Drosophila melanogaster: one gene and its partners. The protein of the gene in region 3 interacts with the protein of the main gene of each other region in a pairwise test. Each region holds a gene or a part of one and is shown on either strand. Other genes may lie near its edges.

The links.
Region 1: the proteins of grk (region 3) and jbug interact in a two-hybrid assay, tested with the Drosophila melanogaster proteins (one large-scale study listed by BioGRID).
Region 2: the proteins of grk (region 3) and CG12824 interact in a two-hybrid assay, tested with the Drosophila melanogaster proteins (one large-scale study listed by BioGRID).

Annotation. Positions count from the first base shown.
Region 1 is NT_033778.4:22,734,046-22,739,759, forward strand, and holds the start of jbug (jitterbug), read right to left. Parts: upstream 3,001-5,714; 5' UTR 2,797-3,000; coding exon 2,560-2,796; intron 152-2,559; coding exon 1-151.
Region 2 is NT_033778.4:7,788,013-7,791,609, reverse strand, and holds CG12824 (uncharacterized protein), read right to left. Parts: upstream 1,243-3,597; 5' UTR 1,209-1,242; coding exon 1,112-1,208; intron 1,054-1,111; coding exon 974-1,053; coding exon of another isoform or gene 918-973; coding exon 785-917; intron 732-784; coding exon 613-731; 3' UTR 501-612; downstream 1-500. Other genes in the region: CG12825 (uncharacterized protein), read right to left, coding at 1,722-1,837, 1,898-2,033, 2,110-2,189, 2,252-2,354.
Region 3 is NT_033779.5:8,429,883-8,436,326, forward strand, and holds grk (gurken), read right to left. Parts: upstream 3,717-6,444; 5' UTR 3,533-3,716; intron 3,391-3,532; 5' UTR 3,201-3,390; coding exon 3,131-3,200; intron 2,613-3,130; coding exon 1,995-2,612; intron 1,860-1,994; coding exon 1,660-1,859; 3' UTR 1,204-1,659; downstream 1-1,203. Other genes in the region: Akap200 (A kinase anchor protein 200), read left to right, coding at 399-485; D12, read right to left, coding at 4,327-6,345, 6,403-6,444. UniProt on the Drosophila melanogaster protein: Critical for defining the anterior-posterior and dorsal-ventral axes of the egg. May signal directly to dorsal follicle cells through the receptor torpedo (top).

The sequences.
Region 1 (5,714 bases), on a different chromosome or scaffold from region 3:
TGGACTTCAGCGCCGTGGTGGCGTTCTCCAAATAATGATGCTGGTTGGCGGGTCGGCGATTCCACGAGGGTTTCAGTGGACGCGTCTGCAGATTCTCCACAAGGGCGCACAGACAAGTGCCATCGCAGAAATCGGTGGCCCAGTCATGAACCTGAGAGACAATGGGAATTTGCATTAACTTCTCCGTATCATTAGAAATAGTAATGGGAAAGTTTGTGGCAAATAATTAGATTACTGCTGGAATACATTCCGTTTAGCAACGCAAGTAATGTGGCAAGTAAGAGATGGGAGTGCATTCCATAATAGGTTTATTATTATAATTGCATTTAATATGATATTAGCTTTTTACGGTCTAATGGATTTGCAAAATGTACTTTTATTAAGTGGGTAGTTTTTACTTTTCCATTCTATATAGATTTAATTTTAAAAAGCATGCTAACCCAAAACAAAAAAATGTTCGAAAGAAGAGATTTTTTATCTTTATTTAATGACTCTAGCAGCATTTTCTTTATAGCTATGCATTAGTTGAGATTACTAGACTTGCTGTAGTACATATGTACATAGTTCCCAATGGAGATTAGCAAATGTGCGAAACGCCTACCATGTCTGCGCAAATGCAAGAAGGTCGCTTGACTGGCAGCCTTCCTAATGAGCAATCAACGCCCCTTCCGCAAACTGGTGGCCCACTTTGCAAGGTAAACCGCTTGCTCGGAACTTGGAGCATGGAGCTCAGATCTCGGAACATGGCACATGGAGCTCAAGAATGGGCTTGGGAACCCAACAGGTTCGCTGCTCCGAACTGAGCGGCTTTCTCCGCCCGGGTGCAACCAATTGTGCGCGATTTTAAGCATTTGACATAAAGCTTTTTATCTGGCTGCTGTCGGCATTCGATTCGACTGGGGGGAACTCCACTCCACTCCACTCAACTCAACTCAACAAATAAAATACGACAAAAAACTGGAGAACTGGGTACGGAGACAATCGCGTGTCTGTTGCTGTTTGTTTGTGCCTAGGAAAATATTCATTGGATGCCATAAAAATCTCACATCGCACATATGTAGTTGCTCCATGGCTCTCTAACAAGCTGCCGCAGGTTGTTATTTGTCGCTGCTGTTATTCCGCCCTTAAATTTTTAAGATTCCTCTGATTTTACGATATGAACTCGAGTTTCGTTGGGAGTTGCGTTTTCACCTAACAAAATATATATGTACTTTTATTTGCATATAAATTTTTGCTATATGTCAGAAAATGTCTAGTCATTCTATTACGACAGTTCCATGGTGGCAATCATTTTGAGATAATTTAATTCTACCTGCCGCAACTGTTGTTGCACTGCATTAAAACGTTAAGGTCATACAATGCAGTCACTTTGAATATTTCTCTCCGTGTATCTGCTCCCATCAAAGCATTTCCCTTTTGTTTGCACATGCATTTGTCATACAAAGTGGATTGCAATATTATTTGTCGCATACGCATGAACTAGAATTGTAAACAGCGTAAAAAACGCAAACTTGGATGACTCGTTTTGGTTTGGTGACCCAAATAGACGCCAGCCAGGTCACAATTAGCGCTGTTTACTAAGGGGTCTTCAGCCTTGCTCATCACATATGTACACATACACGTATGTATGTACGTTTTTGGCCCAACCGAAAAAGTAAAAAAAAAAAAATAAAACCCCGAATTTTATACTCGAAACCGGGCAAGATCGCGCACAAAAGCTTTAGCTTGTTTTGTGTATTGTAACTGCTAATGGGAACTCGATGCGTTGGCCTTGGCATTCAACCGGCCAAATATGGTCGGTTCAGGTCGTTTCAGTGCGGTGCGTGTGAGAAAATCCGTCGAAGCGAGTGACAGTTCAAAAGTCCCTGGACAAATGAAATGCATTGTTGGCAGTACACATAAGTCCGTGTGAGTACTCTTGGCATCATTGTTAATGTAATTGTCGTTGCTGCCATTGGAGTTCAAGATCTGCGTGGGCGATTGAGCCGAGTTTTATGAGCCCGGCCTTTTAGGGAAACTCGCGGAAGAGCTCGAAGCCCCAGTTTATGATGGCGATTTATACTTTTACGTGTTCTGTCACCAGTCAATGCGCTCGTTATGCGATTATATTTAGCTTAAATGGGATCAGTATATGAACTTCAAAAACCTTGCTTTTAAAGTGCTTCTTAATTGCGATTTATAATAATCGAAAATTTTATTTGTATAGAGTTCAATTAAAAAGTGTTCATTATTTCACATATTCATATTTTGTTTTCTATCCCTAATTACACTTCATTAAGCAGTGCCACTTTTTCTATGTGCAACTGCCTTCGCAAATCATTTCCTGGCTAAAATTCCAGATCTAAACGTTTTGTATTTCACTCATCGATTCTCAGGCCCTGCTTCATCAATAGTTCTACGAATTCCACATTCAACGGAGCTAGCCCATTGATTGGGTAATTGTTTTTTGCGCTTGATCGATCAGATATTCAGTCGGCGGCAGGCATTACTCAGTCGGTTAGAAAGTGTTGCATAATCGGAATGTAAATATATCTACAATATATCTATGGCTTAACTCACCTGCATTCCCGTTTCACGCAAATGCTCGTTGACCCAGTTGCGGAATGTGTTCGCCTGGATCTCTACCCAGAGGTCCTCGTTGCCCCGTATGTTCATACCCTTGGCGGCGGTGCCCTCGGGACTCCGGGCCACCAGACCGGCATGGGTGATCTTCTGCGTTTCGGTGGTTCCATCGGAGTTGTGCTTGAGCAGCCCCGCATGCGTCACCTTGGCGCCTTTTATGTCCTTGACGTCCATCTTCACTGCACGTCACTGCACTTCACCTGCGACTCGCACATATGTATGTACAGATGTAACTCGCGTTCGAAACACTGATCGGGAGAAATGGATAGATCGCGATGAGATACTTCTGATCGCTGTAAGTTGTAGCTATGCTATTCAGTTTCGGTTTCAGTATCAGTTTTAGTTTCGTTTGCACGCGCTCGCGGCCCGAAGCGAACTGGAACTGCGCTTAGCTGGTCGATCTGGGCGGCTCTGCTCTCTTGGCCTGGCCAAAACAAACGATGACGTCATGGCCAAAGCTCAAAGCTCCAGAGAGCAGCAGGAGAATTTATAAAAAAAAATGCGGGGGGTTTCGCCAGCGAATGTGTGTGTGCGAATATCTCTGAATCTGGCTATAAAGCAAAACTGGTTTCGTCGCTTCCAAGCCAAAACGAAGCGAGCGAAAAGGAAAATTGAATACAAAAATAACAAAAAGGCGAAAATAATACAAAAAAAAAGAGTCTGTAAAATAACAGAAATCACTTAGTTTGGAATTTCGCCGCGGCAACAGCAGGCAAAAAGCGAGCAGATCTGGTGGGCAGTACTGTGGATGCCAGTGGTTGTCGTGAATGTGGCTGTTTGGGCAAGTCTTTCACAAACGTTAGAAGGCCAACATGTGTGTAAACGTGGGAGCCACCCCAGAAGATAATGGACGTAATCACAGCAATGAAATCTGCCACGATCAATTGTCAATTGTTCGCCCGTTTTCACTTGTCGCACTTTTACCCAAACAATTTGTGCAAACCGAAAGTTGGCCGTCTGAATGGCCTTTTTGGCATTTTTCCACACGGCGTTGCGAAGACAACGAGGCGTCAAATGACCGTCTAACCAACTTAATTATAGGAAATCCGGTTGCGTTTCTAAACAAGTCAATTGCCACAGATCGCATATATCATAGCACGTCCAGTTCTGAGCGAGGCTGGTATGCAGATTTTGAATACGAATACGAATACTATTTATTGACAAACACTTTTCGGAGAGGTAAACAACTCTGGGATGACATCACTCATCACTTGCTCGGCACAGCGATGAGTTGTGGCTTGAGCACTTTTTTAACGCCCCGACAGGAGAATACAGTGCGAGAAAATCATGCTGACTAATATTACAAAAGACAGTTGACGTAGCTAATCTAGTAACTCTTCAATGGAATTCCTCTTAAAACATCAATTAACTACTTAAATACACCGCTTTGCCGCAAACTAATTTGTACCTTAATTTATTTTAAGCAGAGATGTCATTGTTGTGTTTTTGTCTCAGTGACAAAACTGCGTGGCTTGGATGAAATAAATTAACCAGCGGGGACAGCAAAAAGTGGAAATTAATGAATTGCTCCTCGGACTTATGAGTGATCCCGTGGCTGATGTCATTTACTGACACTTGACATTGGCAATGAACCTAATTAGTTGCACTCGCCAGCGGAGTGGAATGAGCCCCACTACTCGGCGAGTTCTATAGATTCAGCTGGCGGCAAGGTCATGGGAATGGTCATGATAATGGTATTGGTGGTGCTATTGGCCAAGGGGAATGGGAATGGTAATGGTAATGGGAATGACCAATCCGCTTCTTAGTTTACTCAGTTGGTCAGCAGGTAAATATCGAAAGTGTTGTCGTGACTTTAAATGGCAGAAGAGGGCCAGCTAGCACACCTAGTTTAGGGCATTACGTAATGGCCGAAATTTTCGACTTTGAATGGGCAAAAGTGTACGTATCGTAGGCTACAAATCGGTGTATCTATATCACAGAATGCGATGTGCACGTAGGTGTCTGGCATTTTTTACACTTTTCGATTTGTTTGCTGTCCGAATATACATTCGTATATACTTATTTCGCTTTTTGCCTTGCAAACCCACACGGCCAGCCAAATCTCGTAGTCGTCGTCATCGGGACAGCCACCCACATGGTTGGTTGGTTCAACGCCTCGTTCTAGACGTGGGTGCGATTTCAAGTTTGATTTGTGCCAAAACCGTGTACCAAATGGCCATTGATTTCTCAATGATTCTGTAGTGGCTGCCTAGCTACAACTCTGTTTGGATCCGAGCTGTGGGAATATATTTGGTTAGATGTTCTATGACAACGTCATTAACTTTGAAATATATGAGATTAACTGGAGTGGAGGTGAAGCCCATAATTATGTTGATGGATGGTTACGGAATTTACTACGAAAGGCTGTTCTAGAGATGAACCTCGAAAAATAAATGATGATTGAGTTATTTCATCAATTAGGTTTCTTAAACCCTTTTTTTTTTCAATATTCGATTTCTATTATAATAGTAACAGGCAGACTTAACTTTACTACTCAGTTGGACACAAGCCAATTGTTGCTTGGATTCCCTGCCAAAAGAATATAATACGATTTAAAAGTTTAATACTACATTGGCATCCTTTCCAAGATTATTATAAGTAGATTCAGTGCTATTTCCTTTTTAGACTAGGGGTGGGCTGTTTGTTTTGTCTGTTGGTATTACATATTCGACTTCCTGTTGGCCAAATGCGATTGTAACACTTGCCACGCCTTACAGTTAAATGATGGCCTATTAGCGCACGCTTCTATAGCGAGTAAGCGCTTATTTTTGGCATCATTTTTATGGCGGTTCGTCATAAATAGAAAACACTCCAAACGATGTGCTCACACATACGCACAGACATACATATGTACATATGTGTTCCCTGCTCTTTTTGAGGCACTGCCAAGTTTGTGTCTTCAGTCTTTTGATTAATGCCGTTAGGCGTCGCCAAAGCGCAGCCAAGCCAAACCTTCTTGGTTCGTATGAATGATTGTGTGTGTGTGTTCTTTTGTTTTTTAATTTTTGCTCATTACTCTGCCTCGTTTATTCGCCTAAAAGCCGCAGCAATTACAATTGAAAATGCCTTTTAGCCAGCACTTAAAACCAATC
Region 2 (3,597 bases), on a different chromosome or scaffold from region 3:
AAACAACATAAATACACATAACGACCAATTGAACTCAGACCATATAAACTATATAGCTTATATATACTTTATACTTTTTGGTGGATAAAGGGTTTGTTTTCATATATCGACCTGCGTTCTTATACAAAGCGGCTTTCTTATGAGCATAACCAAGGTCACGAAAGGTCATACACATATGCTTGCTGCTTGGTACATAGCTTATCGGCATTACAGAATTGAATCGATTAGCATCAACCAGGGCTGCAAAGAGCGGGATATTTGAAAATGCCGTCATTCTAAATTTCCAAATGCTAAGCTTAAGATATTTTTAAAAAATATGTAGCTTTTATTATTTGAGCTATTTCTGTTCAAATTATAAGGCTTAATAGAATTTCCATTTAACAATCATAAAAATATTGATGGTAAATCAAATGGAAAAGTAATTTCAACAAATCAAACTCTCAGTATTAATTTGTATATTATAGAATGTAATATATAAATACAATAACACCACTAAAAATGCTCTTCACCATATTATATATAATTATTGCATTTAGTAAAGACAAAATATATAACCATATCTCAGAAGCATCATGCTTTTGATAAACCAACAATTGTAAATGGCAAAATGCATCATATGGGATTCACCAAAATACTTTTGACTTGCATGTCGGCATACTTCGGTGGAAGCCCATCCTTGCGCATCCTGCGGAAGGCCTTCTGCACCGCATAGAATGCCATTCCGAGGCAGCCTGAAAGTAGTTTTTGGATTTATTGAAGGACGAAGTTAATCTCTATATTGTACCTATCATTGGCGCTGCGCAAAACATGACGATTAACCAATCGCCCATGGCCAGCAGCACAATGGATGAGTAACCCATTAAGTAGAGGAACATGGCGGTTGTGATCATCCAGGGCACGAAGAGCTTGTGCCTCTCCTGCGATGAGAGAATGTGGGTGAAAAATTGGAAGTTGCATTGGGAGTATGGCCGACCTTGATGGCTCCGCCGATGAGTACTGCGCTGCTGATAATCTGCATGGACGCTATGTGAACTCCAAATGCGTAGGATAATTCTGCGGGGAAACTGGTATTAGATGTGCTGGCTCTTGAACTTTGACCCCCGTTCAGTACCCCTCAAGTTGGCGAATATGATGAGGTAGGCGATCGCAAGGCAGATCGATGCAGCCCCGGAGCAAATAATGCCCGCCTTGGAGTCCGGTTTCCACATTTCCAACTCCTCGATGGGCGTTTTGTTCGCAAATGATCCATTGTTCCATTACTAAAAAGCTTTTTTTAATACTTATCTAATCAGCCATTGCTTTATATACAACGCATATACATAAAAGCCTTTGTGGGATATATAGGCACCGCAAAAGGGATAATAAAATTGTGCATCATAGAAAACAAGCTTTGCTAAAAGCCAAATGATAAAAGTAAAAAAAAAACAGAATTACCTTTGTCAGAGATAACAGAGATGTGAGCTGGAAACGAAATTTCGCAGAAAAAAGATAACAAATATATTTTCAGAGCACACTGAAAATAATAGTTCACAAAAGTGATTGCCTTAAAGTTTATAGTTCCCATTGCAAATTGTAATAAACTTTAGAAAAGTTTAAATTTACACCGATTTCTTGTGGGTTTGTTTCGTTTGAATAGCACTTAAAATGAGCTTTTATTTTCCAGCTATCTGATCTACCTTTAATCTTTTTTTTGTTTGTATTGAAATTGCTTATATATGTATCTATATGTGATTGATGAACTCCTTCTTGTCGGACAAGCTGGCATATGCCGGTGGCTCCTCCTTGCGCATCCTGTCGAAGGCCTTCTGCACCGAGTACAGGGCGCAGCCCAGATAGGCTGAAAGTGAAGGATTTTGGTTAATTGGCTGTCCAATCTCTGGCTGCGTTAACTCCTCACCTGTGAACGGAACGACCATCAATGGTCCGAAGATCCAAGCTGTGCCCTGGACTATCAGTGAAATGAACAGGTTCACCATCAGGTATAAAAAGAATCCTGTGGTTATCATCCACGGCACGAAGAACTTGTGCTTTTGCTGTATGCAGCAAAGAGCAGAGCAAAGAGATAAGAGATAAGAGTGTTGTGGACTGTGCACAGTGTGCCTAACTAACCTTTATGGCTCCAACGATGAGGACCACGCTTCCCAAGATCTGCAGCGCCGAAATGTGTATTCCCATCTCGTAGAGTCCATCTGAAACGAAATAGCTCTATGCATCGCAAAGATATCCAAGATTGGTATGTATATGCGCCTACATTTCCAGAAGTAATCGTCCATCAAAACCAGATAGGTTATGGCAAAGGCTATGGACAGGCAGCCCGAGCAGATGATTCCTCCTTTGGTGTCCAGCTTCCACATGTTTCCAAAATCGCAGAGTAACTTGCAGACCGCCGATTATTTCACAACTAAACTGGACGGGAGTATTCATGGTGGTGATGGGTGAGCAGGCTAGCTTTTGCCGCAGACCTTATCTAATCTCATATTGTACTGTAGCTCCTCCACCAGCGCAACAACAATTGAAGAAAACCTTTGTTGGTTAGTGTATAATTATAATTTTATTGAAGGATTCGCTTATTATTGCTTCGACTGGCCAGCTAACTGGGCAATCCATGCGGGCCTATCTATCGATGGGTTCCCAACTTGTGGCTACACCATTTTACAATGAGATACGACCTCGAGTCGATTACTTTGAATAATGCAATGGAATTTAATTGATTAGCTAACGAATTGAGAGTGGCGAGTGTGCAAAAATTTGTTAATTGTAAAATTTGTAACATGCGTTTTACTATTTGGTTTTCTTGCATCTTTAACTAGTATAATTAGGTATAAAAAAATGTTACTGCAATATCACCGCACGGCATTGCTTCATATGTATGTTTTGATGTATAATAACTATTCGATTTTCAGTTAACTCGCGTTATAAACTGCAAAATGTAGCGTATTTTAGAAAACGTTCGAGGCGTTCTACGTTCTGCGTGAGAATCGTTGATTAATTTGAGTTAAGTGGCGTTAGAAATTGGTTAAGATAGACTTAAGAAACTTGGCAAACGTCGCCTTCCTCTGGTGTTATCAAGTTAGTCAAGATATATAAAAATACGTTACGTAGGTTATAACATTCGATTAGTACAAGTAGGTATGTATAAATATATAAAAAGTACACAACGTGTAAATAAGACTAAGTCAATAGAGGAGACCTCCTTCGGGCAGGTTGCTTAGCTGCCCCGCGCATCTGTCCTTTCTCATCATAAGCACTTCATATTTCGATTTGTTGCATTTCGATTGGTTTTGTTGTTTTTTTTTTTTTTTTTTTGTTTTGTTTTTGGCAAAATCACAGGAGAATTAGAAATATAACATCAATATGATAGAGCGAAAGTGCATTCGATAGAGCATTCGTTCAACTTGGGTTGCTTTATTTGCCTTTGCTTGCACGAACTTGGATTCCGCCTTAGTTAAGTTTAGTTTTGCTTCTGGGGTTTTTGAATTCTTTAAATGTATATTTGTATAATAAATTATGACTATATATGCATTTATATATAAGTATATAGATGAATATATTTAAGAAGTAAGTAGGAGGCGCATTATTCCACTTTTCAACTTAGGA
Region 3 (6,444 bases):
TGCACACCAAAATACAAATTTAGAAAACAGAAAATTATTCAAAACCCAACCCATTTATACCCCGCTCTGTCCTAACTCAATATCTGTTTGGCTGTCGTAACTCTTGGCTCTCACTAAAACCAAAGACCATAAATACACAACTGTACCTTAATGTTAAAAACACTACACACATACACACACACTCGCACACACAGTTCGTAAATCGCTTATTATTAAATACATTATTTTGTATACTATTTCGTTTTGTTTTTGCGCCTTTGTCATTGTCGCGAACTTTCTTTCCCCTTAATTGTTGTTGTTGTGCTTTCAGTTTTTAATAATTTTTTTTTTATGCAACACACAAAGCAAAAGCCTTGACCAGATAAACAACTAATAATTTCCATTGCGTTTGTTCACAGGTGGATCTCGCCAAGGATCTGAAGGAGAAGAATGCCGCCGCGGCAGACGTTACAACACAGGAACAACTGCCCGTTACATGCGAATAATCCTACTCATAATTATTATATATAATATTACATATTATTAAAAACAAAACAACAAACGATACAAGCAACAACAAAAGAACGCAACGTAAAACAACAAACAATTACAAGATAAACGAGATAAAAACAAAACAAAACAAAAAACAAGCAAAAATACATTTTTAAACATTTACATATTTTAAATAATTTTTGTACGAACTTCATATCCCTAATCCAAGATATACGCAAGCAAAAGTCCGAGTTACACGCGACACCACCATCCACGCCACCAATGCAACCACTGCAACCAATCACCACGCCCCACTCAAACACCACCCACGCGCAGGAATCAATAGTTTTTTTTATTGATGCCTCTCAATTCCAGATCGGGTTAAGTCCCCAAAAACACATCCATCACCCATCAAGCACACACCATCCACCACACAAGCGCATACATACCATTCTCATATTGATGATCTTGATAGCGAAAGAATCAACAAATCATATACGATGAAATGATGAAAGTGAGGAGAATTTTTTGAATAATTTCTACTATACATTTAACTGTAAGTTCGAAGAAATTTGTAAAGAATTTTTGGACGAAATATTGGATAAAATATATATTATAAAATATAAAACCCAAAAGCGTGCTTCACTCATATCCGCCGGCTGAAAAAAAAAAACGAGAGAGATAGAAACGAGATACGAGATACGATGAACCGCAGAAAGGAAACAATGTTTTGAATGTTTTAATTCTGTTTCGAGTCGAGTCCCAATCCTCTTCTTTAATACACTACCAAAATAGTTTTTCTTTACAATATACACAATGTAACAGAGTGTTACGAAAATAATCACTTGTCCTGGTAACTGGAGTAAGCGCTAAGATTACATTATATTTCGTAATGGTTAATTTAACGTAACAAAATGTTACTACAAACAAACTACAAAAGCTCCAACGAAAGCTTCAAAAGCGAAACAAACGAAACTAAGAAATGATAAAGAAAAGCAAATACTAACTTGTGCGTCTTTTGCAACTAAATAGAAAATCCTACTAAGTACACTAAATGTATTCAATAAATTAAAGCGTTAATTTTACGCTGCGCAACGTAAAGAAATATGGTCAACAAGAATTTGCCATCCAACAAAGAGGAGGCTTATATAGGTGAAACCAAATTGTTTCCAAATCAAATTCTAAATCTCAGCATCTGACAAAAAAGCGCTGCTTATGCAGGTGTAGTTGCTGCTGCTTCCGGCGATAATCCGGCACATTGCGGAGCATGAAAACGGCTGCGAAGAGAACGTAGAGCGACGACAGCATGAGGAGTACGGGAAAGGAGAAGACGATGTGCGCCATTCGGACCTTCCGCTGCGCTGTTGGAGGCGAATAGATGTAGTCACCTGCAATGATCAATGAGTTCATTTAGTTACCATGTACTGGGTACAGACTAATAGATATCGTTAGTTCCATCCGTTCCATACAACACAGGAAGAGACTTCTGTGAATGGATGGCTATGCTAGAGTAGAGTACCTACCATTCCAGCTCTTGTAGGCGCACCGCTCTCCATCGTAGTCGTTAACGCAGAGGCAGGAATGGAAGACTGTGTTGTTCACCATCGGATGCTGGAAGCAGTGGCCGCCGTTCAGGCAAAAGCTAGTATTGTAAGCTTCGCTGCAGGGCAGCATCTGAATCTCTGTCTCCTTGTCGTTCGGGCTGGGAGTCGTGGAGTCAGGCGTGCTGGACGAACTGGGGTCAGGTGGCGGTTCTCCGGTGTGGGTAACAGTTTCGGGTGTTGTCACTGTCTCGGAATCAGTGATTGGTGTGCTGCTTTCGCTGGCCAACCAGGTGTCGGTACTGGATCCGAGAATTATCCCATCCTGTTCCGGATCCGCAGCAATGGAGTCGTCTGCGTTTGGCAGTTGGCCGCCCGAGTCCGGATTGGGATCCGTATCGGGATGCAGCTGGTCTGCCTCCTCCTGGGCCGAGGCCTCCAGTTGCTTGCGCTGCAGCTCCAGGCGATTGAGCAACTCAACCGCGGTCTCCTGGATCTGCTGCTGCAGCTCGTGCGCATGCTCGTGCATGTGGCTGTGCTGATGCTGCACAATTTTCAGCGTATGCTCTCGGAGAAGTAAGATTCGGCTCGAACAACAATCTGCAGAATACAGAAGAAGGTGTGCGATTAAGAAAACAGGACATTTCCAGTGATCGCAAAGATACAGAATAGATAACGTTGTAAAGCTCAAGTTGAAGTACAAAAAGCTTTCAGTTTTTAGTGCGGCAACTTTTGAAATTATCATAAAAATGTCTCCCTATGGTATTATTATTACTAATTTTTTTAATTTTTAAGAATGCAAAGTTTGTTCATAAGGACAGTATTTAAATGAAACTCAAAAAAATCTTTAGAAATAATTCACAAATATGTATATTATCTGAAGTTTACTTCATTCATCATCCACGAACAGAAAGCTAATACAGGATTTTACACAGTTTTCAAGGAAGTTTTAGTTTTTTAGCATAACAAGTATATAATCAGCACTGCAAATATTTTATGATTTGTTGTAGCTGTTTTCCAGTTTTTTCGACGCTAGAAATAGCTTTTTTTGTGGGAGAGCCTGGCAATACTGGCCGTAATATTGGAATCTAAAAATCAGGTGGAGATTATGTACGTACCTGTGACGGCGACAATTGTTGAGAGCACGAAAATTACTTTGAAAATCCGAGTAAATGGGATTTGCATCATTGGAAAACGCTTGGGGTGGCGCTCCGAAAAATATTGATTGGGTGGACCGATTGTCCACCACTAGGAAAACTGAGTCAATGAAGGGGTCTAAACGATCGAGGGATCGAGCGGCGTGCTGGCCGCAAATGCAATTTGGCGTCGCAACAGAAGCTGAAACATACTACACACTTGCATCTCCTTGTGGATTTTACTGCAAAATAAAAATAGAACATTTTAGCGCCTCCACATTTTCTGTCGCACGAACGCACACACACGAAACAAAAAAAAAAGGAAAAGAAATAGCATTCAAAATTGGTGATCCAAAAGCTTTTCATAGATTATCTTAGACGTACTGGAGCTGCTATATGGCCTGTAGAAGGCTTCGACATTATAATTATTATAATGACTCGTGAATCATTTTATATATCAGGCAAGTAATTAATTAGTTAATCTAAAGAGCAGCAAGCGCGGGAAGCGGGCTCTTCTCTGCTCCACTTTGATTTTAGGTCTTGTTGCGCGCACGTCGGAAAAGAGACTGAGGAAAACAGAGCCAGAGAAACAGATGGACCTCATCCCTACATTGGCGGCATTGGCATGCGCCATGAATGAAATCGATCGGTGAGCGGGGAGAGCGAAGAGAGCGCCCCCAAAAGAGATGCGATTGCGACCGATAATAGTCGAAGAATCATATGGATATGCTAAGAGCTGCAAAAAAAAACCGCCCTTTAACAGTTATTCAATTTGTTAACGGCACTTTTCACTGCATACTTCTAGGGCACTATAAAGATATATTACTCTGTGAAGATAGCTGATAAGACTTAAAAATGTTTACATGTTTCGTACAAATATGCAATTGTAGCGATTATTATTTATATTGATAAAACAATTTAAAAGTCTTCAGCCAGATATTCAAAATTTAAAAATTAATGACCACTCATCTCATGATTTCGTCCAAAATATGATAATCGTTGATAATTAAAAACGCAGTATTCATTTCTTCGGACATTAATTTAGTTAATTTATTGCTTAGATTTATGCTTACCAACGAGTACAAGGCTCTAATTAGATATCAACTAATATCCCAGTAGAATTTGAACTATGACGCGGACTTGATAAAAAATAAATTCAAAACAATGGCAACTGCACATTAGATTTGTGGTTCTATCGGAGCAACTCCCAAGTGACTGTTTCCGAGGAAATCCAATTCGGAACACAGACTGATGACACGGCCTATGTCCTGAGGTTGGAGACACAACGGAGCATTGGCCGCCGCCGGTGGCAACTGTTCCAAAGTCTCCTGTTGCAGTTTCGCCGCCAAGGAGCGGCGCACCAATTTCTCAATAAAAGTGCGCAGCACTTGTCCGAGCATCGAGAGAGCCAGTGGCTGGGAGACGCCAGGCGGAGATTCCTCCGGTTCCAGTGTGATATTAATGTCCTTGCACATTTCCTGGACCAGCTGCAAGGTCGAATCCAAGTGCTTCGGCGGAGGTAGATAAAGTAGTTGGCGATGATTCACCATTTGGAAAGATACATCTGCTGAGTTTGTTAACCTGGACGCAAGCGGATGAGGTTTGTCCACACCCAACACATCGATGAACTCCTTATCCCGCATCTGTTGATCATGACCAAGCAGACGATCGGATTGCTTGGTTATCCAAGCTTCCAGCCGATTGCCTGAGCTGAGACTGCTATAGGCCGACAGTTGCGGTTGGGGCTCGCCCTTTAGTTGCGCCTGAACACGCCGAGCCAGTTGCTCCTCATCGCTCAGTTTTTGTTTTCTCTTTTCATGCACGACAGGTAAAACATCTTTGAGAGCTGGCGTATAACCATGAACCCTGGCGAACGCCACTATCTCCCGTAAACTCCAGTAGTGTTCCTTTCCACTAATGTCCAACTTATGCAGCTCGTGGTGCTGCATCAGACAGCGACGGAGCATACGTGCGCGCAGGTACTCAAAGCAACGTTGTTTTAGAGCAGTGTGATTGTGGAACTCTTCGAGGGTTATACAAGTGAATGGATACTCCTTTTGCTGATCAATCGACGCAAGCGGGAGGCGGCTCAGCAGGAACTCCACAGCACTGCGCATATTTCGGAATTGTGCACTTCTAAAGATGTGCTCCAGCCTTCGGGGTCGCGATTGTATGGTAGTGTCCACAATTGGAGGTAACAGCATTGGCTTTTCCTCCATCTCGCCGCTCATGTTGGCGTACCCATGATCGTGCTGCATGCACTGCAGCATATGCCATCGCGTTTCTGACGGTGGCTTAAGAAGACTCAATTGTGGTTTCAGCAGGGATTGTTGCTTTGCAGCCTGCTTAAGCTTGCGCTGCAAGGGATCGATAATGTACAGCTTTCCTGCTCTCTGAAACACAACATTCTTCTTGCCCTGGTGATGGCCATTGGGCACAGGCTTTATTGGTGGCCGATCCGACGAGGATTCCTTCCACGCTCTCTGCGGAGATGCCGGTGGATAGTGCTTTACTGGCGAAAACTCCTGCCGCTGCCTTTCTGGCAAGGATTCCTGCCTAGGACTTCGGCCGTTTACTGGCAGATAGACCACAGAAGGCTTCGAAGCGGTGACCTGAGCCGCATTTAACCGAAGTTGAGTCCTAGGAGGCGATGACGGAGTGGGTGGCTGCTTTCTTGGACTGTAGTTTAACTTCAGGGGCTCTGAAACCAACACAGTTGGTTCAATTTTCTCAATGTCGTCGCTGAGTTCAATTTTGTTGATACCAGCAAACAGATTGTCATCAAGTTCCTCCTTATTTTGAGTGATTGAAATGGTGCGCGGTTTGCATGACTCTCCAGGAAAGGCGAAAACCGAAGGCTCTAAAACATTCGGAGCAGCCAGAGGTGGAGCAGGAACTGCAGTCTCCTGTTCATGGGGAGGATGAGGTTTGCCGCTTTTCTGTTTCGTTATCGCCTGTTTTGCTCTCAGCCATATTTCCACAGTGGTCTCTGCGCCCATCGTGTGCAGTCCACACATTGTTTTATCCAGCACCACCGTGTGCATTAGTTGCACGGGTTTCTGCTGCAAGTGCTCTTGGAAAAATAGCTGGATGCGCATCGGAAACTCGCCCCAACCATGTCGGTTAAGCTGAAACGGAGACCTGTGCACGTCCACGATGTCGTTTGGGCGGTATGACGGATGGAGGTGGAAGCGCACCTAGAATTGCGAAGAAGAGATTGAATCACTCCGTACGTGCTTATGGGAATTACTTACCTTTTTAATGTATTTTTCAAGTGGTTCAGGTAGATCTTTGCC